2 linked regions of the Canis lupus familiaris genome follow. The protein of the gene in region 2 binds, or shares a complex with, the protein of the main gene of each other region. Links are inferred from orthologs where the notes say so. Each region holds a gene or a part of one and is shown on either strand. Other genes may lie near its edges.

The links. Proteins that work in one complex are often made in the same cells at the same time.
Region 1: the proteins of ITSN1 (region 2) and AP2A2 are in contact, whole or in part, in a crystal structure (PDB 3HS8), measured with the Mus musculus proteins. The link is inferred for Canis lupus familiaris from reciprocal best matches to the Homo sapiens genes ITSN1 and AP2A2. Residues at the interface, in NP_034717.2 of Mus musculus: Asn841, Trp843, Ala844, Phe846, Ser847, Ser848; in XP_006536218.1 of Mus musculus: Glu308, Gly320, Val321, Glu324, Gln329, Gly331, Leu332, Lys333, Phe346, Gly348, Asn349, Lys350, Gly386, Ala387, Gln388.

The regions. Positions count from the first base shown.
Region 1 is NC_049239.1:45,787,887-45,791,989, reverse strand, and holds the end of AP2A2 (AP-2 complex subunit alpha-2), read right to left. Parts: intron 3,754-4,103; coding exon 3,630-3,753; intron 2,381-3,629; coding exon 2,264-2,380; intron 2,175-2,263; coding exon 2,105-2,174; intron 1,980-2,104; coding exon 1,845-1,979; intron 1,156-1,844; coding exon 1,078-1,155; 3' UTR 968-1,077; downstream 1-967. UniProt on the Homo sapiens protein: Component of the adaptor protein complex 2 (AP-2). Adaptor protein complexes function in protein transport via transport vesicles in different membrane traffic pathways.
Region 2 is NC_049252.1:28,938,566-28,943,645, reverse strand, and holds part of ITSN1 (intersectin-1), read right to left. Parts: intron 3,791-5,080; coding exon 3,528-3,790; intron 1,469-3,527; coding exon 1,319-1,468; intron 933-1,318; coding exon 792-932; intron 1-791. UniProt on the Homo sapiens protein: Adapter protein that provides a link between the endocytic membrane traffic and the actin assembly machinery. Acts as a guanine nucleotide exchange factor (GEF) for CDC42, and thereby stimulates actin nucleation mediated by WASL and the ARP2/3 complex.

The DNA of each region.
Region 1 (4,103 bases), on a different chromosome or scaffold from region 2:
GCAAACAGGCTGCTTGTGTCTGTGACACAGCCAACACAGTGACAAACGAGAGCCAAGAACAGGAACAGCATACAGAAGCTGGGCTCTAGCTCACCCTCGGCATGGTTCTCTGATCCCTGGCCACACACAGAGGCCCTCCTGTGGGACACAAGGTCCCACACACCCCAGGAAAGAGTAGCTCACCCTGCAGAACCTGCTTTGCCACCCACACTTGACCCTCTGATCAAACAAAGGAAGGCCAAGGTGAGTATGATTATGGTCTACTCTCTGGAGTGCAGGGACGAGTGAGACTGGCTACACATCCTCTAGACCCAGCAGCAACCCCCAGCTGCTGCACTGTAAACCAAAGGCCTCACTCAGGTGGCACAAACCAACACCCCTTTAAGACCACAGTGCTGGGAAAGACAGAATTCAATCCGACATCCGTGCTCTCATCGATGGTCACATAAACACCAATATTTCCAACTTCTGTATTTTGAACCCTGCCCCAGAGACTCATCCAGTAGACGCTGCAGCCAGCCCATGTGCACTGTGCTCACACACCCAGGGCCCTGCAGGCGGCACTCGGACCACTCATGGACACACTGTGCCAGCCATGGGCCTTGTCACACATCTGCCGCACCTGGCATTACCCACTACAATAGTCAAACGGCCTAGTTAAGATCTTGCCCCATGACAGACAAGCTGCTGCTGCTTCTCTCAGAGAATCAGAGAACCATCAGCAATAAAGCAGTAGCATTTTGATATCATTTCAAAAAAAAAAAAATCTGTATTTTCATTGAAACTTGTCATTTCCCTTTACTTGGGAGATTAAGTACAGAACTGTCTTGATCTCTATGAACACCGACCCTGGGCCCATGCTCCCTTCTTCTGGCCCCACTGTAATCCAAGTTCAGCCTCTCGTTCTTGAACACACACTAGTATCCCCACTCCAACCCAAAAGGGATCTGGTTTGGAGAAGCAAGGCTGAGAGACGCCTGTACACAGGGCTGTTTATTTGCAGCACAGCAATGAAGACAAATGACACAGATGAAGAAAAATGCAAGACACAGGAGCCTGATCCTCCATCCTCGTGGATCAAAACTGTTCTGACAGCAATTCACACAACCTCTGAGAGACGGTCTCTTTACTCGTGCGCAGCGTGAGTCGGTACATCTGAAACAGAACACGGCAGGTCAGTGGCCACATGCGGGCTCGTGCACCCTCAGCAGAGTACTCTGGGACAGCAGATGGCCCCTCGGGCTCCCCTGCTCAGCAATTCCCTGGAGGCACCCACATTTTTACAAAGACTTAGGCAAACACGTATACTCTCAAGCACCTAAAATACAAAAAGTTTAACAATTAACAAGTGGCAGCAACATGTGGAGCATGCTGCAGATGGGGCACAGAACTCTGGAAAACTGGCAGTGCCCAGACCGAAGGAGCCTGCAGCTCATCCCAAGTAAAGGAAAGACAGCTGCACAGAGGCACACGGCAGCTCTACTCAGAATGGTCCCACACTGGGAGAGCCCAGGTGCCCATCCATAGGACTAGGTAAGCCCACGGGGACCCAAAGGGCACACACACACACACAGCTACAGGGCTGAGTACTGGAGGGCAGGGCCAGGCTGGCCCAACAGCAGCCCCACAGTGGCGGCCTCCACAAGAGGTTGAGAATGATGGAGAGCAGACCTCAGGGAACTTTCTGGGGTGACAGAAATGGTCTATGTACCAGCAGGGTGGTGGAGGTTACACAGGTGTACACATCTATGGGAACTCCTCAGATGACTCCACTTAGAACACACGTGACACCACAACAAGCACACAACTTGGGTGTATATAACAATTTCCTCAAGAAGTCTGACCTGGGCTTGCAGATTTGGTTCCAAACGCAGTAAGCATCCAATTTGGGTGGTTTTGGTGTGTATGATACCAGCCCCCACGAAATTTGCAGGATTAGGATCTACGTCTTCAAGGAGTGCAGAACCAAACCCAATGATCTGTGCAATAGACAGGCATGCAGGGCAGTGAGACTGGGGACCTTGGAGGGACAATAACACAACCGACCAACCTCCAGAGACCAGGAAGCACCCCAACCCTGGGAATGCCCATCAGTGGGCCTTACCTTGGCTTTGGTGATTTCTGTGTCCATCGGGTGCTTTGCTTTGAAAATGTTCTGCACTTCCTGTTGGGGACTGTGAGGTATAATCAGGAGTCACCACCTCGAGCCTGGTCAGTATGGGAGGACCGAGCCCTGCCCTCTGCCCCATGGCCCTGCACTCACCTGCTCAGCTGCTTCCAACGCTGAAAGAAATCCTGAGAAGCCATTTCTGTGGGCTGGAAAAATTTGTTGAGTGTGATAGGCAGCTTAACGGACACATTCTGAAAGGTTCCCCCATACCTACAGGGTAAGATGGAGACGCAGTGAGCAGGGCACAAGGGCAGCGGAAATCCTAACACTCAACTAGACAACCAAAACCCTAATGTGCCAATCAGCAGGGCACAGGGAATGTCTGCTGCTGTGGTCGGGGGGTGGGGGATGGAATGTTCTGGAAGGGTGGCACAGCCTCTATATGCACATCCAGGGGTGCTGCTCCAGCCAGACACCACTAGGCCCATCAGACTAGGTCAAGGATGGGCCTCAGGCAGGATGGCCCAGCTAAGGCTTCCACATCTCCTCACTTTTCCTCATAGCCCATTTCCTACAACTCCAAGTTGGTTTAAATTGTATGGGATTTTTCCTTTTTGCTATGAAAAGAGACTAAAAAAAGCATTTGCCTACAGAATGAAACAAAAATTTGCAGGTCTATTTCCCTAAATTCTACAAAGTACGGTCTTCAGTTCTCTGTGTTTTTAATGTTCGAAAACATGCTGTTCCAAAACTTGAACCGTACAAACACCCTACAGAAATCAGTTATTCACATACATTCTGTCCTACTCACTGACAAATGACAGCCAGGATCAGAGTAGTAATACAAAATCCATTTTTTTTTTTTAATAATCAAAACGTAGGGCGCTGGGGTGGCGTGGGGTGGCTCAGTTGGTGTCCAACTCTTGATTTCACTCAGGCTGTGATCTTGGGGTGCTGGGATCAACCCCGCATCAGACTCTGCACTTAGCTGGGAGCCTGAGATTCTTTCTGCCCACCGCCCCCCGCTCTTCCTTCTCTAAAATAAAGAAGTCTTTTAAAACAACCAAAATGGGGACGCTCAGTGGTTGAATGTCTGTCTGCCTTCGGCTCAGGTCGTGATCCTAGGGTCCCAGGATCGAGTCCCGCATTGGGCTCCCCACAGGGAGCCTGCTTTTCCCTCTGCTTATGTCTCTGCCTCTCTCTCTCACTCTCTCTCCCATTCTCTCTCATGAAAGAGCACAGGACCTCAGAAATAGCGCCGTCTCACAGTGGCCTCCCAGGACCCTGCACACACCTTCTACATGCTGTGCACCTAACACTGCAGTGTGCATGGTGGGTGATGCCACTCATCTGGGTTACCCACTTAGCCCTCACAACAACCTCCAAAGGAAGGATGTGGAGACTCGCCTAGGACGAAGGACTCCCAAGGACATGGCTCTGTGCAGGCATGACCCCACAGCCCCAAGCTCCAAGCCAAAGTAGGCTGGTCATTCAACTCACTGGCCCATGAGCTCCTTACCTGAACTGGATGTTGAGGACTGGTGCCTCCGTGAAGTCAGACACACACTCTATGTTCACAACCTGTTGCACCTGGGCTCCACCATCCACAGTCGGGTCCACGGGCTTGGTCTGCAAGCTCAGATGTGTATGTGTCAAGGAGGCCATGTTGACATGTCAACACTGGAGAATTATGCCCAAGCCAAGTAAGCCCCGGAATGTTATAGAAGGGGGTCTGTAAGAGAGCTCATGCTCCTCATCTTGGAAGAAATCATTAATACAGTTGATCCTACACACGTTATTTTTAATGACTGATTGGAAACACTTGCCTTTAACAATCTATGTTCAACATTTACCTTAAAATAAAAACACAGACCTGGCCTGTTGCAAACAGGTTGCTGCTTCAATCACCTCCTTGGCGGGGGTTGGGGGGGCGGGCAGTATCCTTGTCAGGTGAGCTGGGGCATTCGATGCCTCACTCTGGTTGGCCCATCCT
Region 2 (5,080 bases):
GCCCTGCATGTACCAAGATGTGTTAGTTTTTTCTCTGTCTTGTTTGTATGGTGATTTATGTTGGTTGAAATTTGAATGTTAAGCCAACCTTTTATTCCTAAAATAAGCCATACTTGGTCATGGTGTTTTACCATTTACAAAAATATTTTACTTGATTCAATATGCTATTATTATCTTTTAATTTAAATTCTTGAAAGATACTGGTTTATAGTTTTCTTGTAATGTTCTTACCTAGTTTTGGTATCGGGGTAATAAATAAGAAATTAGTATTCCTTCCTCCTCTATTTTCTAAAAATGTTTGTGTTGAAATGGCACTATTTCCTTAAAGTTTTCATTCATCAGTGAAGCCATCTGGGCCTGGAGGCTTTTTTGTGGTACGACTTTTAACTGCAAAATGTATTTAATAGATATACAAGTATTATTCAGATTTTCTGTTTCTTCTTGAGCCTGATGATTTGTATCTTTCAGTGAATTTTTTCATTTCATCTAAGTTGTCAGATTTATTTGTATCAAGTTGTTTACAATACTCCCTTAATTTTTTGCAAGTCTACAGTATCTGTAGCGATGTCAGTTCTTACATTTCTTATAATGGGAATTTGCATCTTCTCTCCCTCTTCAACTTTTCCCCGCTCTTTCTCCTTTTCCCTCCTCCTCTTCTCCATCAATCTAGCCAGAATTTTATTAGTTTCCATGTATATGTAAATGCTGGACACTTGTAGGGATAAACGAATGGAATGAATTGGAGGAAAAGCAGGTAAGCCTAAGAGCAGTTAAGGAATGTATTTTCTCACCTGTAATTGTTGCTGTAGATGGGTGATTTCAGCAATTCTCAACTCTCTGGATTTATTTGTACTCTCAATTTCTTGCCGTTGGGTGGTCAATCGACACCTGATATCTTGAAGTTTTCCTTCTAGTTGATGCTTTTTATCATTCTTTAACAAATGAAAAATAATTACTATTATTATTATTACCATTTCTAATGGTTCAGTGTTAGTAGACAACTGACCCTTGAACAACACAAGTTAGAATTGCATGGGTCCACTTACATGTGGATTTTTTTCAAGAAATAACCGTATAGTCCTGTAAATGTGTCTACTTTTCTTTATCAGTTTCTTAACATGTTCTTTCCTCTAACTTCCTTTACTTTAAAGATACATATAACATATGTGTTAAGTAACTGGTCCATAGCACACTACTAATAGTTTTGTTTGAGGGGAGTCAAAAGTTAAGAGTTTTGACTACAGGGGATCTGTGCCCATGATCCCTGTGTTGTTCAAGGGTCAACCATATTCCCAGAGCATAATCAAACATCACTCACAAGAGCTTCTAATTCAAATTCTAGAGTCTTCTTCTTTGCTTTCAGTACAACTATGTCTTCTTGTTCTTTGTTTCTCTGATTGAGTAGCTCTTGTCTTCGATTTCGTTCCCATTCCAGTTGCCGCTGTCTTTCAAGTTCTCTCTTTGCAGCCTGTGGCATTGGCAAACAGACAACTGACTAACATTTTAGTCCTTACATTATACAACGTCTCCTAATAAACATAACATCTAGTAAGGCCTTACTTTTAGAGATAAAATGGTACATGCTACAAAAGCTTCTATTACAAAATAGTAAAACAAAATTTATACAAATCTAGTATTTCTTCTATGGGGAAAAAAAAGAATATTGAGAAAAGCTATTTAGTTAGGTGAGACCAGGAAAGATTCATTTCATCATTAGAATTCGATTGTTTATGCCTTCAAGAATGCTTGATGTGACTAAAATAAAAAAACAAAGAACAAAACAAAAAAATCCTGTTCTTTCTTATTTATTGACTCGTAAAGACCAAGAAAAATATCTTTAATCCAGTAAAGTATACCAAAACCCCAGGACAAAAACCAAAAGCAAAAAGTACCCCCAGCCAAAAACACCTTCTATCAAATGAGAAATTACTTATCTCAAGTTTTAAAAGTTTGTTGCTTCCCTACCCCCCCATCATGTTTTTTTTTTTAAACACCACATAAGCTTCCACAATTTCTGTAGTAATGTCCGCTCTTTTGAAAGCTGACTCTGATGGCTGCTGGGTAAAGTACATGTCCAAAGCCATCTAGCACTCTATTGTAATTGCTTCATATGTACTGGTCCTCCAACTACCCTTTGGGCCTAGAAGGAAAAGGTGGAGTACCTATTCACCAGTACTCTAGGAAGTACCAATGTGTAGCTTATGGTGAATGACTATTAAGTAATTCTGAATAAATACTCTAAAGTGTCTTTAAACAAAACAAAACAAAAAAACATTAAGGGTAGGTGGTCTGTCTTTTGGCTATCCATTCTGGAAGTTAAAACCCTGTTAGTATCCATATGCATTTGCTTGAATTAAAGGAGGCTTACTGTTCTAAGTTTTCTGAGGCAATAACAGTAAATGAAACCAAAGTATTGTGTTTTTATAAAGAAAAATCTTCCATATGTAAAATATATTTCATTCACACAAAAGAATAATGGCACTGCATCTGCAGCAAAATGCTAGAACTGGAAATTCAGGTAAAAGATTAGCTTAGCCCCTCTCCAGGTATGACACCAAATTTATGAAGCCTTCCATCAAATATAGTGAACATATTATTTTTAAGTAGAAAAAAGAGGCACAGAACAATGTAATTAGTATGATACTATTACAAGGGTTAAAAAAAATTGCACCACTAAAAAAAAAAAAAAAAAAATTGCACCAAACCCCCAATCTCTCCACTATATAACCTTTTATATTTCTATATACATATATAAATGCAGAAAAAAAAATCTGAAAAATTCTTAACTGATATCAGTGGTTTGTTACAAGACTATGTTATCAAAAGCTGGAGCTTAGCAACATTATTCATAATAAAAAAACATTATTCATAATCGTTCAAAAAAGGAGAAAACAACTCAAACGTCCATAAGCTGATAAATGGATAAATATAATTTGGAACATCTGTGTAATAGAATATTATTAGGTCATAAAAAGGAATAAGGTAATGATTCATGCTACATCTTGGGACTTGGGAACATGCTAAGTGGAAACCAGACACAAAAGGTCATATATTACATGATTCCATTTATATGAAATGTCCACAAAACAGGCAAACCTACACAGGTGGAAAGTAAATGAGTGGCTTTGAGGGCAGGAGAAGAGGGGAATAGAGAGTAACTGCTTTATGAGTAAGAAATTTCTTCTTGGGGGATGCTTGGGTGGTTCAGTGGTTGAATGTCTGCGTGTGGCTCAGGTTGAGTCCCGCAGCAAGCTCCCTGCAGGGAGCCTACTTCTCCCTCTGCCTATGTCTCTGCATCTCTCTGTGTCTCTCATGAATAAATAAATAAATTTTTTTTAAAAATTTCTTTTTGGGGTGAGGAAAATGCTCTGGAATTAGTGGTTATGGTCCCACAACTTTGTGAATATACTCAAACCACTGAACTACAGCAAAAAAAGACCATATTAATATATTAATATTACTTGAATAATTAAGAAGGAGACCAGAGCACACACGCTAATTGTGGGCTTGGCTCTACAGTTGCTTACCTCTCGTCTCTCAATTTCTTTCCTCCTCTCCTCTTCTCTCTGACGTTCTAGCTCCCGTTGCTTTTCCAGTTGTTTCTCCAACTCCAGTTGCCTTTTGCGCTCTTGCTCCTGGCGCTCCCGCTCTTTCCGTTCTTGCTCTGCACGTTCAAGCTGTGCCAGGCGCTCTTGCTCTTTGCGCTGCTGCTCCAAGAGCGCTTGTCTCCGTTTCTCGAGTTCCAGATTGCCACGTTCAAAATTCTCACGCTTCTTATCTTCAAAGGTTACTTTAAAACAAGAAGCAGAAAAACTTTGAAAAGTCAGGATTTTCAACATACTATTTTCTAAGGAAAAATTCATTCAATGGCACATTTGAAATTTGTAGTAAAAACAAACCTGAACTGAAGCTTCCGTACTGTCTGGGCCCTTAGGAATAAGCACTATGTCACCAAAAAACTTTAATTTTTTGATACAAAAAAACTTTTAGAACCAATAACTTAATTCAGTAAAGCTGCAGGACACAAAATCAAAATATGAAATTGGTTGCATTTCTATATACTCATAATGAACTATCAGAAGGAGAAATTAAGAAAACAGTCCCCTTTACACAATGGCATAAAAAAGAATACCTAGGAATAAATTTAACCCAGACCTGCACACTGAAAATTATAAGACACTGATGGAAGAAACTGAAGACATAATTAAATGAAAAAGTATTCCATGATCAGAATTGGATTGGAAGAATTAATATTATTAAACAAGCAAGCTCTAAATTCAATGCTGTTCCTATCAAAATTCCAATGGCATTTTTCATAGAGCTTAAATAATTTTCAAAAGTATATGGAACCACAAAAGACAACAAATAGCCAAAGCAGTCTTGAGAGAAAGAAGAACAAACTCAGAGCTATCATGCTCCCTGACTTCAAACTATACTGCAAAGCTACAGTAATTGAAACAGTATTATTGGCATAAAAACAGACACAGATCAATGGAACGGAACAGAGAGCCCAGAAACAAACCCACAATTAAATGGTCAATTAATTTACAACAAATAAGCCAAGAATATACAATAGGAAAAGAAAAGTCTTTGCAGTAAGTGGTGCTACTAGACAACCGCCACATGCAAAACAATGACACTGGACCACTTTCTTCTCACACCAGACAAAAAAATGAGCTCAAAACAGATTAAAGAGCTGAATGTTAGACCTAAACCACAAAACTTGTAGAAGAAAACATAGGCAGAAAGCTCACTGACAGTGCTCATGGAACACTGCTTTTTAGAACTGACTCCAAGGGAGTAGTAACATTGAAAGTAAAAATAAACATGTGGGACTCTATCAAACCACAAAGCTTCTGCACAGTGAAGGAAACCATCAATAAAATAAAAAGGCAACTTTTTGAACAGGAGAAGATACGTGCAAATCATATATCTGATAATGGGCTAATATCCAAAATACATTTAAAAAAACTCCTACAACTCAACAAAAAAAAATCTGATTAAAAAATGGGCAGAGGTTGGGGTGCTTGGCTGGCTTAGAGGAGCATGTGACTCTTGATCTCGGGGTCATGAGTTCAAG